2 linked regions of the Mus musculus genome follow. The protein of the gene in region 2 interacts with the protein of the main gene of each other region in a pairwise test. Links are inferred from orthologs where the notes say so. Each region holds a gene or a part of one and is shown on either strand. Other genes may lie near its edges.

Evidence for each region. The genes of interacting proteins can lie anywhere in the genome.
Region 1: the proteins of Ccdc33 (region 2) and Ptk6 interact in a two-hybrid assay, tested with the Homo sapiens proteins (2 studies listed by BioGRID and IntAct). The two-hybrid records come from large-scale screens. The link is inferred for Mus musculus from reciprocal best matches to the Homo sapiens genes CCDC33 and PTK6.

The regions. Positions count from the first base shown.
Region 1 is NC_000068.7:181,192,145-181,198,820, forward strand, and holds the end of Ptk6 (protein-tyrosine kinase 6), read right to left. Parts: intron 6,398-6,676; coding exon 6,236-6,397; intron 4,983-6,235; coding exon 4,801-4,982; intron 4,311-4,800; coding exon 4,157-4,310; intron 3,813-4,156; coding exon 3,625-3,812; 3' UTR 2,980-3,624; downstream 1-2,979. UniProt on the Homo sapiens protein: Non-receptor tyrosine-protein kinase implicated in the regulation of a variety of signaling pathways that control the differentiation and maintenance of normal epithelia, as well as tumor growth.
Region 2 is NC_000075.6:58,113,431-58,121,788, reverse strand, and holds the start of Ccdc33 (coiled-coil domain-containing protein 33), read left to right. Parts: upstream 1-2,965; 5' UTR 2,966-3,044; coding exon 3,045-3,354; intron 3,355-4,157; coding exon 4,158-4,486; intron 4,487-4,582; coding exon of another isoform or gene 4,583-4,585; coding exon 4,586-4,702; intron 4,703-8,358.

The sequences.
Region 1 (6,676 bases), on a different chromosome or scaffold from region 2:
CTTGAATCTTTTGTGGTGAAAATGCCCTTGAACTTTTGATTCTCCTCTTTCTACCTCCTAAATAATAGGAACTTGGGTATGCATCACCAAACCTGGTGTATGCACTGTTGGGGATGAAACTCAAGATGTCACGTGTGTTAGGAAAGTGCTCTGCCAACTGAGCTGCAGTCCCAGCCTCTGAGCTATTTAAAAGAACTCTTAAATCCTTTCAGTCCTTACCTTTGACTATATGAGATAAGATTCCATTCCACCAGACCTTTGGAAGGCACTTTGAAAAAGCATCCATCAACAAGCTGCATGTGGGGATGTATACCTTTAGTCTCCGCACTAGGAGGCAGAGGCACAGGCAGGTGGATCTCCGAGTTTATGGCCAGCCTGGGCTATAGAGCTAGTTCCAGGATGACCAGGGCTGCACAGAGAAACCCTGTCTCAGAAAACAAAACAATAATGATCCATCAGCTTTCTCTCCCTATTTTTCTTTTTCATAATTTAGAACAAGTCCTATGTTAGCCTTCAGTGACTATTCTCTCTAAATGATAATGTATAACCTTACCACAAATGGAGTTTCCCTGAACGCTTTGCACGTAGGTGGTTTTCCTTGTTATTTCTAGTGGTTCTAATTACATATGTTGTTATTCTTAACTCTTAGAGTCCCTAGCACCCACGAGCTATGGTAGCCAACATGCCACTGAAGAAAACCTTTGTGGGCACTGTAGTAGGATGCCCTTCATTGCACAGCTCTGCATACTATAGACCCAAGCACAACTACCTCCATTCTGTGTAAAAACAGGAGGCCATAGCAGATCAGCCTAAGCTTGTTTCCTTAGGAATGACCCCAAAGCTGATTTGTTAACTACATCTCTCAAGCCTGAACAAACTTAAGGTTGTGGGATGCTTTTTATAAATTAAAATTACTGTTGAGGAGTTCATTTAGCTTTCACTCCACTTACATTTCTGTCCACTCAACAGTTACAGGCGTGTTACAAGGTATCAGCACTAAAATTGCTCTTGTTAACAAGTCAGGCAAATGTCACCAACACCACAAAAGCAAGACCATCCCCTTCGTCCCTTCCTCTATTCTACCCTTGGGTTTCATTTCTCCTTTTAGCATTTTAAATACTCAGTAGAATGAAACTTGTTTAAACCCTGGTAAGAAAAAAAAAGTCTATCTCAGTAGCTCTCAACCTTTGGGTTGTAACCTCTTTGACAAAAGGGAATTCTATCTCCAAAAATATTCATAATTCATAACAGTAGCAAAATTACAGTTACGGAGTAGCAACAAAAGTAATTTTATGGTTAGATGTCACCACAATATGAGGAACTGCATTAAAGGGTCGCAGAATTAGGAAGGTGAGAACAACTGGTCTAGCTATACTGTGTTCATGTTGGACAGGTCTGGAAACATTCCTGTTTTTTATTTTACATTATTCTAGATCATGTGATCTTTAAGAACATTTGACTTTGTTTCTATATTTCTGAGAGATTTTAGGGATATTTAATGAGCACTCATCTCTAGACCAGTCCAAACAGAACTGTAAGAGATTTTTTTTTTGTTTTTTTTTTTTTATTTTGTTGTTTCCTTGTTTTTGAGACAGGGTCACTCTTTGCATGTTAGAACTCTGTAGACCAGGCTGCTCCCAAACACACAGATATACCTGAATCTGCTTCACAAGTGCTGGGATTAAAGAAGTGTACCAGGGTTGTCCCCTCTATAACTGGGGGAAGGACTCTACAAACAGCCAAATGTACACGGTCCCTATAGCTTTAATTTTAGAACGTTTAGTCCTGATTCAGTTTATGTCCACTTGGATTTTTATACAAATTTTGTTCTTTTTTATTTATTTTTGTTTTTATGAAACAGGGTCTCCCTGTGTAGCTCTGGCTGCCCTGAAATTTGCTACATAGACCAGGCTGGCCTGGAACTCACAGAGATCTGCCTACCTCTGTCTCTCAAGTGCTAGGATTAAAGATGTGCACCACCAAGCCCAGTCCAAATTCTGTTCTTGGTGAAAATGAAAGGTTCAGTTACTGAGAGAGGGGAAATTTTTGATGAATGTCTATGCAAAAGACTTTATTCAAAGGTTTTCATTTGCCCTGTTTCCAAACATTTTCCTGTGCTCTCCCTATCTAGTGACGACGTTACATCCCAGAGAGCTGCTTTACAGGAAGCAGTACAGAAAGTGTCATCTCTAGGATACAGAGAGGATGTTTCTGTAAGGAAGGTTGCGGCATCTTCACCTGTTGTGAGAGGGCAATCTGGACGTGGCTGTAGACATGTCATCAGAGAATTATGCCCACTTCCAGTCAGGTAGCCTCGGGTACGTGCTTTTGGGATACTCCCCCTCAGAACTGGGGTTCTAATCTCCAAGTACATAAGGAGATGAAATGGAGAACAGATAGCCTGTCTAGCCTTTATGGGTCAAGTATGGGTTCAAAAGCACTGAAGACACATGAGGGAGAGCAGCCTTGGACCAGAGCCATCTTGGAAAACTCGGGTCCAAATGGGAATCAGAGGATGGCACAGGATATAAGGGTATCCTGCCTCAGGAACCCAGGGCAAAAGCATCTCTGAAGGGAAAGGACACGGAGCTCTGAAAGTAAACACCAGACTCACAAGCTCAGACCGAGTTTGACTTTAGAAACAAGTGCAGAGCCTCGGGCAGAGATGCAGAAGAGCTGCCTCTGCCCACATGGTTAAGAATCCTGGCTCTGCCAGGCAACAACAGTAGCACATGCCTTTAATCCCAGCACTTGGGAAGCAGAGGCAGGTGGATCTCTGTGAATTTAATGCCATCCCGGTCTACAGAATGACTTCCTGGACAGCCAGAGCTACATAGAGAAAACCTGTCTTGGAAAAAGCAAACAAGAAAATCTCCTGGCTCTTACTGACTCCATCGTCTTCCCTCTGCTTCTGCGGACCCCAGGTGATTGGGTATCTCAAGCACTCACTCCCCACTGGGCACCGGAAACCACAAAGCAGAAATTTCATATCCATTTATCTCTGTCTTCAACTTTCTAGGTGAGGATCCTCCAACAAAACCAAGGTTATAAAGAGAAAATCATGTAAACTTGTTCTGGGTTGTATGTGGCATAAGATCCTGCAGAATTAAGGTGCTAAAGGGTAGGGTATGTGTTTGTGGACAGTCAAGCTCCAAAAGTGGTATGAAAAGAACTCCACAAGGCCTGTTGCCTAGACTCTTCTTGGCTTCTCTGTCACATGAAGTCTTCACAGGAGAAGGGAGGAAGAAGCCAGAGAGTGACTTTCTGGATTTTGTGTATTGCCTCCTGGAGGAGGGAAAGGAAGCCGGGTTGCGCACGCCTTTGATCCCAGCACTTGGGAGGCAGAGGCAGGCAGATTTCTGAGTTTGAGGCCAGCCTCCTCTACAAAGTGAGTTCCAGGAGAGCCAGGGCTATACAGAGAAACCCTGTCTCGAAACCCCCCCCCCCCAAAAAAGGGAAAGGAGCCTCTTTACTCTTTCCTTGACAAAACGCAGTATTTGAGGTATGTTTGGTATGTTTCCTATCCCTTCATCTCAGTAAACTGAAGGATGGTTCATGCCTTCAATAGAAGTCCAGGATAATCACGAGGCCCTCTTCTGTGGGTCCTGGCCACGTCCAAGGAGCTCAGACCAGGTTCTCATACCTGGTGATACCTGTGAGTTTCTCACACAGGTCTTTGAAGCAAGGTCTCTGCTTGGGGTCTCTGCTCCAGCAGCTGAGCATCAGCTTGTGTATGTTGGGTGGGCACTCCAGAGGGCAGGGCATGCGGTAGCCGGCATCCACCCTCAGGAAGGTTTCATGATTGGACATGCCTGTGGCCCATGGGAGAAGAGAAATGAGAGCTAGGAGACTGATCCCTGGAAGCCACACCCAGCTTCCTTTGGCTCCTCCCTGAATGCTGACCCCTGCTAGAATGACCACCATCATGCCCTGGACATGTTGTAGCACACTGTCCATGGATGTTCCCTTCCCTGTGGATGGTGTCTCCCAGAAATGATCCCAAAAGCATGCTCCCAGATGCTCGAGGAATGAAACAGGGGTGGGGTCTGGTTGAGGCCCTGGGAAACACCTCCTGTCATCTCTGTCACCCATTCAAGACCTGCCCTGACTCTAGCTCACTATTTGTCCACCCCTGGAGACATTCTTGGGGCAATACCTGGGTAGGGCATCTGCCCCCTGCTGAAAATTTCATGAAGAAGAACTCCAAAAGACCAGACATCAGACTTGATGGAGTAATGCCCTCGGGAAAGTGCCTCAGGTGCTGTCCATTTGTAGGGGACATTGTGCTCATGGGAAAGGTAGATGTCCTCCTGTGGTAAGATGTCTTATGGTAGGACCTGACACTAGAGAGAGCTGCCACTTGTACCCTTCTTGTGTAGCACTGACAAGCATGGACTCCAAGGTCCTGGTGAGCAGGGACAACCACATTGCCTATTGCTGTCTGACCCACTAACACCACCCCACTGCTACCATGGGTAGCTACCACCAATGCTGCCAGAATCATGGCTAGGCCCAGTAAATATGCCAATTCACTAGAATTCTGGGTCAGGGAAAGACAAGAGCAGAGTTACAATGCATGAATACAGGAAAATCTCTAGGTACATGGCTATGTCTGTCTAGGTTCTCAAAGCTAGATCAGTAGGGTATGAACAAGGCTGTGGCTGTATAGATAAAGCCATCTTGCTTGCCTATTAACGCCACCCTATCAGGAACCCATCTTGCTTATGGCTAGGTTCAGCTCAAGGCTTGGGAGATAAAGCCCCACCTCCTGCTTCTGTCTCCTACCTCCAAGGGACCTACCTTGACAAGCCTGGCAAGCCCAAAGTCCCCCACTTTGCAGAGATTGTTCTCTGTAACAAGAACGTTCCTTGCAGCCAGGTCACGGTGGATGTAATTCTGAGATTCCAGGTAGCACATGCCCTCAGCAACCTGTGATGCAAAGTCCACCAGCTCCAAAATAGGCAGGGCTTTCTCATCAGAGTCTGTAGGGTGATCAAAGGCCAGAGTCAGCTGGCCAGAGACCAGTCCTCATTTACTGTGGCTACGAAGGCTACAGCAAAGAGCAGCTGGCTTGGCTTAATTGCAAAATGGGAAGGCCTAGACCTTCTGCAGCTATGTACCTAGAGACAAAGAGCATATTCTTTGTCTGACACCCTTTCTGGGAATCATAAAGCAATCTAAGGTCAAGAGCATTGCTGCAAGATATTCTTGGTATGTAGCCATTGAACACTCTAGATAATGCGCAGCCAGCAAGTACTACACCTACAAGGGGCATGAGTTTCATCTCTGGAGACTTCTTCCTGCAGAAACTGCTTATGAGATCAAGCTCTTTATGAGAAACACAAAGAAAGAGAGAGAATTTAGAATTTAGAGAGAAGCTGGTGGGCTAAGGCAAGTCACTAGCAGGCTACACAAGCCTATAGTAAAGTAACCTCAGCTAACTGTGAGGATAGAAATTGTGAGGGAGAGTTCTTTTCTGTACTTTTTCAAATTTTATGATCAGCAATTGGTAGATTTTTTTTGTACTTAATAAGACCATTTACTTGTCTCTTTTGTTATGTATGTATGTATGATGTGTGTGTGTATGTATGTGGAAGTCAGAGGACAACATCGGGTGTTAGTCTTCACCAGTGACGTGTTCCAGGATGGTTTTGTGGTTTGCTACTGAGCCAGATAAAACAAGAATTCTCCCATTGCCTCCCATCTCACCGTAGAAGCCTAGGGGTAACAGAAGCCCGCTCCTGTGCTTGCCTTTACACTAACTAGTTCTGAGGATTCAGACTCAGGTAACAGAAGCCCACTCCTGTGCTTGCCTTTACACTAACTAGTTCTGGGGACTCAGACTCAGGTCCTCGTGCCTGCCTAGCAAGCACTTCACCCACTGAGCCATCTCTCCCACCATTGGTTTTTTTTTTTTTTTTTTAACGATTTGTATGTATGAGGCAATGTAGCATGTGTGATGTAATGCATGTACTCATTATTAAGGGTGTGTGCACATGTATACATGTGTACATGTGCATGTCTTTCCTTGATTGTTTTATATCTTTGGTTTTGGGGGGTTTGGGGAGGGAAAGGAGAAAGGTTTGAGACAGGGTTTCTCTGTGTAGCCCTGGCTGTCTTGGAGCTTGCTCTGTAGACCAGGCTGGCCTCAAGCTCAGAGAGCAGGCTGTCTGTGCCTCCAAATGCTGCCTCCAGCACTTTCACCCGGGAAAGGAGACTGGAGCTTTGCACGTACCACGCAGTAGCTGCAGCAGGTTCCCCTTGGGCATGAGCTCCGTGATGATGTAGACCGGGTCCCCTGCAGTCGCCACAGCGTACAGTGACAGGATGTGCTTGTGCCGCAGCTTCTTCATGGCCTGAATCTCAGCCTGGAAGGTGTGCTGGTGCAGGAGATTGTCTGAGAGACATCAACCTCAGTGAGTATAGCCCTCGACCTGTGCCCCAAACAGGATCCTGGCCCAGACCTCCTGAAGCAAGTCAGGCAATGTGGTCAGCCTAGGAAGACAAAGGCTGGCCTCCAAGCTACCACACTAAAGCCTTCCCCACCCCGAGCCCTCAGTGCCCCAAGACTGATGTGTCCATTTGCCCTCCTGTGCCCAACTTGGTCACAATTGCCAAAGTCAGCATTTCCCAGCCAGATGTTTTCAAAGTCCTGGCTGACCTGATTCTTGAGGTT
Region 2 (8,358 bases):
AGGCTTTGTGACAACATGGAGAGGTCATAGGGGAGAACAATAGTTCTGAAGGGAATGGAAGGCCCAGCTGAGAAGACCCTCAGTTCTTCTGCACACAGGCCTCGCCTTCTGGAGCAGCGTGGGAAGGGCACAGTGTGCAGAGGTCACTGGGTCTTGGAGCAGGTCGGATGGATTCTCATCTATGACATTTCTGGAAGTGGCTTCAGACATACAAAAGAAGAGAGCTGGTTAAGCAAGCCACCTTGTTTCAGGACAGACAGGCAGAAACAAGCCACAGCCTCTAGTTCATGGCTGGCCACATGCAAGTTTTCAGGTAGCCTCTGCCATCCATCACCTCCCCCCCCAAAAAAGAAACCCAGCCATATTCTGTGGCCCTTTCCCTGTGTGACTTTCAGGGTTCCAAACCTCTAGAACTATAGGATGGCTTCTCTATCCTATATCCACTGTTGCCCATCATACTGAAGAGACGGGACCTCCTGAATGTCATCTATATGTTGAGTCACTAGAATTCTTCCTCAGTGTCTCCTTGGGGACCAGAGGAAACTGAATTTGATAGCTGTAAAGGAAGCCTGCCACATATAATGGGACCCTTAGCTGGGCTTGCCAGCGGCCACCTTCAGATCAGTGCCTCTTCCTTTATGAAAACGATTTCAGCTGACACAGCTAACTGTAAGAGAACTGTTCTGAATGCAAACTGTGCCGTTCACAAGCATCCTCTACAGACTCAGACCTGTCCTTCTACAGCTTCAGGCTACAGGGTTTCTCCAGGAGAAGGTATCACGTCTTTGGGTCAATCTTAGGACATGTTTTGTAAGGGAATATGTAGCTTGACTGGACTCCTTAGGTTCAGAGCTCAGTTCTCACTGGCCATTTGATCTGTGAAGAGTGCCTGAACTTTCTTTCAGCCTCGTGCTGCCTGTTTAGAAAACAGGAACTAGTTATGTCCACCTTATAGAATCACAAGACTGTCTGGTGAAACTGCTCAGGGGAATGTCATCGCCAATGGTAATGATATTAACATTATCAGCTGATGATAAGGATGGCGGTAGTGACACAGGGGTGACAATGGTTCTGTTAATGGTGGTGGTGATGGCGCTAATTGTTCAGGTCCAGATGGTGTGAAATTCCTTCCTCAAGCAGGAAGCCTGACGCCTGACGCCTGCCTGACGCAGATGTGTGGCCCCTTGACTGTGGAAAACAGCAGGCAGGAGATAAAGCCAGTGCAAATGTCCCCCAGCAGGAGAAAAATTAGGCCACAAATTCAAGGAAGGGCAAAAGAAAGAACTCAGATAAGGAGGTCAAAGAGACCATGCTTGGGGCTGGAGAGATGATTCAGTGGTTAAGAGCACTGGCTGTTCTTCCAAAGGGCCAGGGTTCAGTTCTCAGCACCCACACGGCAGCTCACAATTGTCTGCAATTCCGGTTCCAGAGGATCTGACCCCTCATACAGATATTCATGCAGGAGAAAAACAATGCACACAAAATAGAAATAAATCAATGTACATAAAATAGAAATAAATAGATTATATATACAAACATATACATATATACATGTGTGTATACACACACACACACACACACACACACACACATATATATATATATAAAAGAGACTTGCTCAAGTTCTGCTTGTAATGCCATCTCTAGTAGCTAGATAATATATAAACAGCAGTGGGAAAATAAAATTTGTTCATTCTTAAAGGGAACCCAGAGTCTTGTGTCTCTTTCTACCATTATTCTTCTTTCCTGTACTTCCCAAGACTGTGCTGGACACAGTAGGTAGTGATGGTGGCGGCGTGGTGGTGATAGTAGTGGCAGCAGACTTAGTCTCTTTTGAATAGTGTCTAGGATCCTCTGATTTCCATTGAAACCCAGGACAAAGAAGCACAGACTCTAGACTGACAACCTAGCTTTGAGAGGCCAAGTTCTCTGTAAAGCTGTATGTCTTGTATAAGGTAAGCTGGTTGCAGAAGCAGACATGGACCATATATTCCCTTACCCTGGAGACCTCTCCCATATCCATACTAAGGACTCCCAGGTAGAGACAGGTTCCCCAGAAATGGAGAGTTCTGAATACCACATACTCATGTGCCCCCAATTTTCTATAGAATGTATGAAGTAGATCATCTCTTAGCACACTTGAGAATTTGGTTGTGTGTGTATGTGTTTGTGTGTGTGTGTGCATGCATGCATACATGCTGTGTGTATGGTTTAAGGATTTATATATGTTATGAGTACAAATGTGTGTACAAGTACACATGTGTATGTGTTTGTATCTGTGTGTATGTTTGTGTGTACAGGTACACATGTGTGCATGCTTGTGTGTGTGTGTTTGTGTGTACAGGTACACCTGTGTGCATGTTTATGTATGTGTGTTTGTGTGCACACATACACATGTGTGTGTTTGTATGTACAGGTACATGTGTGTGTGTGTGCATGTAGATACCAGAGGTCAACCTCAGATGTTATTCCTCAGGACTCTTACTTTTTTTAAGACAGGAACTTACTGATTCTCCTAGATGGACTTCCTGCCTGGGCCTTCCCAGGACTAAAATGATAAGCATAGCATACACAACCATTCCTAGTTTCCATGGGTCCTGGGAATCAAACTCAGGTTCTCATGCTTGTGCATCAAGTACATTACTGACCGAGTCCCAGCCCTGATCATTCATTTTCCATATTTCTTGTTTATCTTTGTCTTCTCTACCCATTACCTTCACTAGAAGACAGGCTTCAGGAGGGCAGGAATGTGTCTATTTCACTGCTATATTCAAAATGCCCAAGACAGCACCTCATATACAGTAGGTTCTCAATAAATATTTACTGAGAGATCAAATGCTAAATGGGAAGAATTAATTGATGCCTTTGTTCCCCAGTTCAGGCTCAGTTTCCTGGCTTGTTGCCTGGATCCTTCTCAAACAAACAGAGAAGGGTGAGGTGTGGCCCCAAGTGCCTAATCTGTCTTCTTTCCGACTGGACCCAGGATGGGACTGTGAGCAGGAGAGGGCAGGGCTCAGCCTGGAGTTCTGACCCTGGCTGAAGCCATGGCCTTTAGAGGTCCTGATCCCTACCTCCCTGCATCCCTGCTGAGCCAGCGACTGAAGGCTGGAGAGAAGACACTGGACCTGGAGTTTGAGATCTTGAGTGTGGGATTTAATGAGGAGGGCCGGTACGCCCTGAGGCTGTCAGCTGAAAACCCACTGCAGGCAGGCTCCAGTGCTGGGGTGCAGTTGCAAGTCAATGATGGGGACCCCCTTCCAGCCTGCTCAGCTGTCACTGAGGTCATTGAGCAGCAGGATCCTGGCCAGAGCCTCACCTTCACCAGGAACAAATTTATCTTCACTCTGCCCAAAGGTACAAAGTGAAGTCAAGGGTTGGGGGGGAAGCAGGATCTTTGGGACTTCTGCCCTAGAGCTGATCAGGACCCTGGGGGACTGCAAGGGACCTGGACAGCCAGAGGCAGAGCTCCAGCCTTAATTCTAAGCTCTGCCTGTGTGACTATGTGGCCTTGGGCAAACGCTGGTCCTGTAAGGTTCCTGCTTCCTTCAGCGTGGCATGGATGCTGAAACTGTTCTCATAGAGGGCAAAGGTGAAGAGGAACTAAAGGGGGATGTGAATTTGATAGAGACAAAGCCCACAGCATGTTTAGACCTAGGCAGTGAACGGTACATGGATGAAGTGATGCTAGAAGCCCCCTGAGTTCCTTCTGATTGTAGGGATAGAGACTGGACAGACATGAATGGATAGAAGATCCTGGTCTTACTTTCTGGGAGCTTCCAGACTGGGTACAAAGAGGCAGGAATTTTAAGTCAAAACTAGCTAAGTAATCTAGAAGATCCAGGCTTAGACAGAGGACTTACCAGACAACAGTCCTGGTGTATATCCCAGGCTAAGGTTAGCCAAACTCTTCCCTGGTGTCAGAACCCAGAACAATTCCATGGGCTATAGGCCTCCTCACTCTGGTGGGGTCACATGAGGCATAGGTAAACCAAAGGAGTCTTGAGTGAGGGCTGAGAGGAGTCAGCCACAAGGGAATTCTTAGCCGAGCTCACTTGGATTCAGTTCAAGTTGCCCCAGGGCCCTGGATGTCCTTCTCACCCCTTGGAGAAGGGAGGGAGATCCTAAAGACCACATTTAAAGCCATGTTCTCCACCCAGGGTTCTGTAAGAATGATGGGCAGAGTGATGCACATCTGCGTGTGGAGGCTCTGAGGCTGGATGGATCCTCAGGACAGGAGGCTCAGAGGGTAGGTGAGGCCATCTTCCCCATTTACCCACGACCAGATGAGCCCCGAATGAACCTCACAGCACAGGATCATGAAGACCTGTACCGCTATTGTGGCAACCTGGCTCTTCTCCGAGCCAGCGAGGACCCCACAGCCCGCCACTGTGGGGGCCTGGCTTACAGTGTGGCCTTCCATGTGCACAGGGACCCTAGGTCCTCTGTCTCAGACTGTCAACTGGAACCCAGCCAACCAGAGCTACAGGTAGGTGCTCCTGGGTCCCAGTTCAGGACACAGCCTTTGATGAAACTGGCTGTCTGCAGCCCTACAGTCCCCAACCTCAATCTCCTACGTTCTCAGCAGACTTCGAGGGAGGCCCTGAGTGACAAGATAGAAGAATCTTATATGAGCCCATTCAGCACTGACAGTGACCAGGAGGGGCTCAGCTGGGAAGCAGGACCCTGGCAGCATCCGGCTCAGGTGAGGGGCACCAGCCCTTCTGTGGGAGGGTTCCCTACTACGTTCTCTCTCATTTAGGCATCACATCCAATTGAGAACTCACAGAGCAAGCAGTAGTTCATTGCACAGATGGAGAAAACACACCTCAGGATTCTAGGTTCCACGAAATGTCAACAGTTACTGGAAACCTCAGGACATACATAGTAGCGTGTGGTACCCAATGCCAGGACAGCCACTAAGTATGGAATGTCACTAGAGCCAATACATTTGGATAAAATATTGGTATTACACACAGTCCTTGACACTGTCATGAAGGCTCTGAAAGGGGTCAGGGTGTAAGCCCAGGACAGGCTTTCTCAGAAGATGTGTCATTTTGAAAGGGCTCTTTGCTTCCTTCCTCACTCATTTACGGGCTCCTCCATCCTGTATTTGTCTTTCAGACTAGGTGAGTGAGGTTTACGGGTAGCAATTTGGAGAAGGTTCCATGGGTGAGGTCTAGTATAAGCTAGCAAAGAGAAGAAGGTGGCTCAGTCAGCGGGCAGCAGAGGGACGAGTTGAGATGGAGCTCAGAGCTTGCTCTCTCTCCCTCCCCCCTCTCCCTCTGCCTTCTCTCTCCCTCCACCCCCCTCTCCCTCTCTCTCTAGCTCCTCCCCGCCCACACACTTTTCTTGCCTGGCACTGAGTAGAGGCAGGGAGGGAAACTGAGTTAGGTCATGGAGAGGTTCAATAGGGAAAGAAGTGGGAGGAGCTGAAGCTATCCTGGCACCGAGCAGAGGGAGGTATTCAATTCTGGAGGCAAAAGGTGAGGTGTGGGAGGGGCCTGTAAGGACAGGATTGTATGCAAAGTAAGCAGGCAGCATGTGACAGGGACCCAGAAGCAATGCTCTCATCCAGGCCTCTAACATGGCCCACTCTGACCTTTGTCCATTCATTTCTCAATCAATGAACACACCTTTCTGACCTACTCCTGTGCTCAGCCCCAATCCGTTCTGGAGGCTAAGTGTATGGACGAGATGGACAGTCTAGGTGAGGCTGAAACTCCCTGTGCTCCTAGCCTGGGCCCAGCTCCTCTGTCTAATGCTATCATCTAGGGACAGACACTCTGGAGGAGGTCAAGAACTCAGGAACTGTCCCTGCTCTTTGGGTCTCCCTGGCCTGGCCAGCCTGAGGCACATGGATGTGGATGGTGTACTCAGGCTACAGTGTAAAATGGGTGAAAGGAGGTTGGGAACTGCTGCGGGGAGGAGGGCTGGCGCGATGGCTGCAGTCGACCTCAGCAGCTCTAATTTCTGTTATTTAAAGCTATCATCTCTGCGCCATACTCCCTCTTAAAGTGTCAGATGTCTGCTTCTACCGAGACAAGAAAATAGCTTTCAGGGGAGAGGAAAATCACACCCCTTAGGGGGGATGGGAGGGGTCAGCAATCACAGCCCTGATGGCAGTGCCAGAGCCACAGACAATGGAGGCTTCCCTGTGAACAAGGGAAGGGTGCTTGTAGTTAGACAGACTCAGCCCAGCAGCTCAGGCTAAGGAGAGCAAGCTCCTGTCCCTATAGATACCTGGGGGCGGTGGCAGGACACAAAGGGCTAGTGGGGCTCTATTGCTCTTTGGACCTGTATCCTGGAACTATAGGAGCCCCAGCAGTCATATTGTCTCCCTGCCTTGTGGATAGGGACAGGAAGTCCAGATAAGAGTATTTCATAAGAAAAGGACATTCCCCAGGAGAGAGGGGCTTCCCCTGGCTTTCTGGTTGACAGCTGAAGAGGAGAGAGGAAGGCAGTGAACAGGGGGAATAAAAGGGACAAGAGAGAACTTCATTTTGGGGCTCCAGAGCAACCTCGGCAACATTCAGTTCAAGCCCAAGAACAAATTTCTGGGCTCCAGGAGCAAAAGCTTCAATTCAAAGGCATTTCCTCCAGGAAGCTTTCCCCAGCACAGGGTTCATCCATTCAACCCTGTTCTCAGCCCTGCTGGCACCAGACGGCTCAACAACTGGTTCAGTGTAGGACTTTGGTTTCAAGAGTGCTTTTTGCTTTACATGGTGTGTGACATTTTCTCCCAAGCATAACAGTTAAAGGTCATGGGGTGGGGCAATAGAACAAGAAGATGAAGGGCAGGCAGGCATCTAACTGGGCTACAGGGAAAAGGGCTAAGTATCCATGTCTGCTGACTGAGTCTGAATCCTTTTGCTTCCTAGCCATGGTGCCCTTGGTTCTAAATGGCCACACCAAATGTTGTTGCTCTGAGCTAATATTTTCCAGGGGGTGGGGGCGGTTAGCAGGAACTGTTCCCGAGACTATTTCCAACAGGAGCAGCCAGAGACTGAGGGTGGAGGTCCCTCAGGGGTGCCCTGATTCACCAAGGAGGACCCTAGGAGCACACTGGCAGGAGCTACCCCAAGTTCCCTGCAGCCAACGGCTGTCATCCTCCCCTGGGGCACAGGGGCTTCCTTAGAAGCCTGCCCTTTCCTGATACTACCTGTATTCACTTCCTGGAAGCTTTGAGATCACACAACTAATCCTCTGTCTTTGTCTAAAAGATGGTTCAGTGATCAGAGAGGAAGCAGGTGGTCTGTACAGTGCTGGGAAGAGGGACCTGGGGGAGAAGAGTAGAAAGTGCAGGCAAGCCTGAGCTATGACCAGCTCCCCCCTCCCAAATACCCTACTGTGTCTCCTGGTGAGGTTGGGGAGGGAAAAGAGGACCGGTGTCTTCAGTCCCTGAGCCATTCTGCCCTCAAAGGTCACTAGTTGAGGGACATCTTCCCACAGGCAGAGCTGTTGAAGAGGGAAACTTTGAACTGGAAATCCCCAGGTAAGGAGTTTCTGGAAACATGAATTGAATTCCTTGCTCATAGTTCCGGGGGCCACCTTGGGGATTCCTGCGATTTTGAACCGTAATTTCCTCCCGCAAGACCCTGCGGTCCAGGTTCCTGTGGAAGAGGGAGGAGGGTGTGATGAGATCGACCCCGCAGTACCTCTTCCAAACAATCATGGTTTTGTTTCATGGAAATGATTCTGTTTCCCTGGAGCCTTTTAAAAGACGCTTTTAATTTTTTTTTATTTCTTCCATTTAAAACACCTTTTCATTTATTTATTTATTTTTGCCCCAGAGGAGCAGGAAAAGAAAGAAAGAAAGAAGAAAGCTAACAAAGCAATCACTAAATGAGAAGCACCTGGCTCGAAGCCTGTGGCTTCTAACTGTAGCTCTGGCACTAAGAAGGTGGGGGCTTTTATTAAGAAGTGGAGGAGAACCAAGTGCCGAGGAGAGGGCGGAGTGGCTAGCTCACCTCCACCCTCTGTCCCTACACCTTGGTGGTAACCCTTTGCCTTTCCCTTTGTTCCCTCTCTCTCCCCACCCCCATCCTGCCTGTTTCTTCCTGGTCGCGATTCTGGCTAGAGCGGCAGGTCTGCACTTTCGCCGCCCCGGGAACCCTCCAGCTTCGGCCGGAGCGCTGCCAGTCTTCACTCTCCCTCTCCTGGCTGCTTTTAAATTCATTATGCCTTTTATTGCTCGCTATTGCGTGCTTTATTCCCATTGCCCTGGAGACTAGAGTGGTTCAAGGGGGAGAGGCGCACGATACGGATTTCATTAACTCCACTCTTTACTGCCCATTCACTCTCAGGGGGCTGGCCTGGAAGGGTGGGGAGGGAGGCCTGGGCACCTCTTTGTTGTCCCCC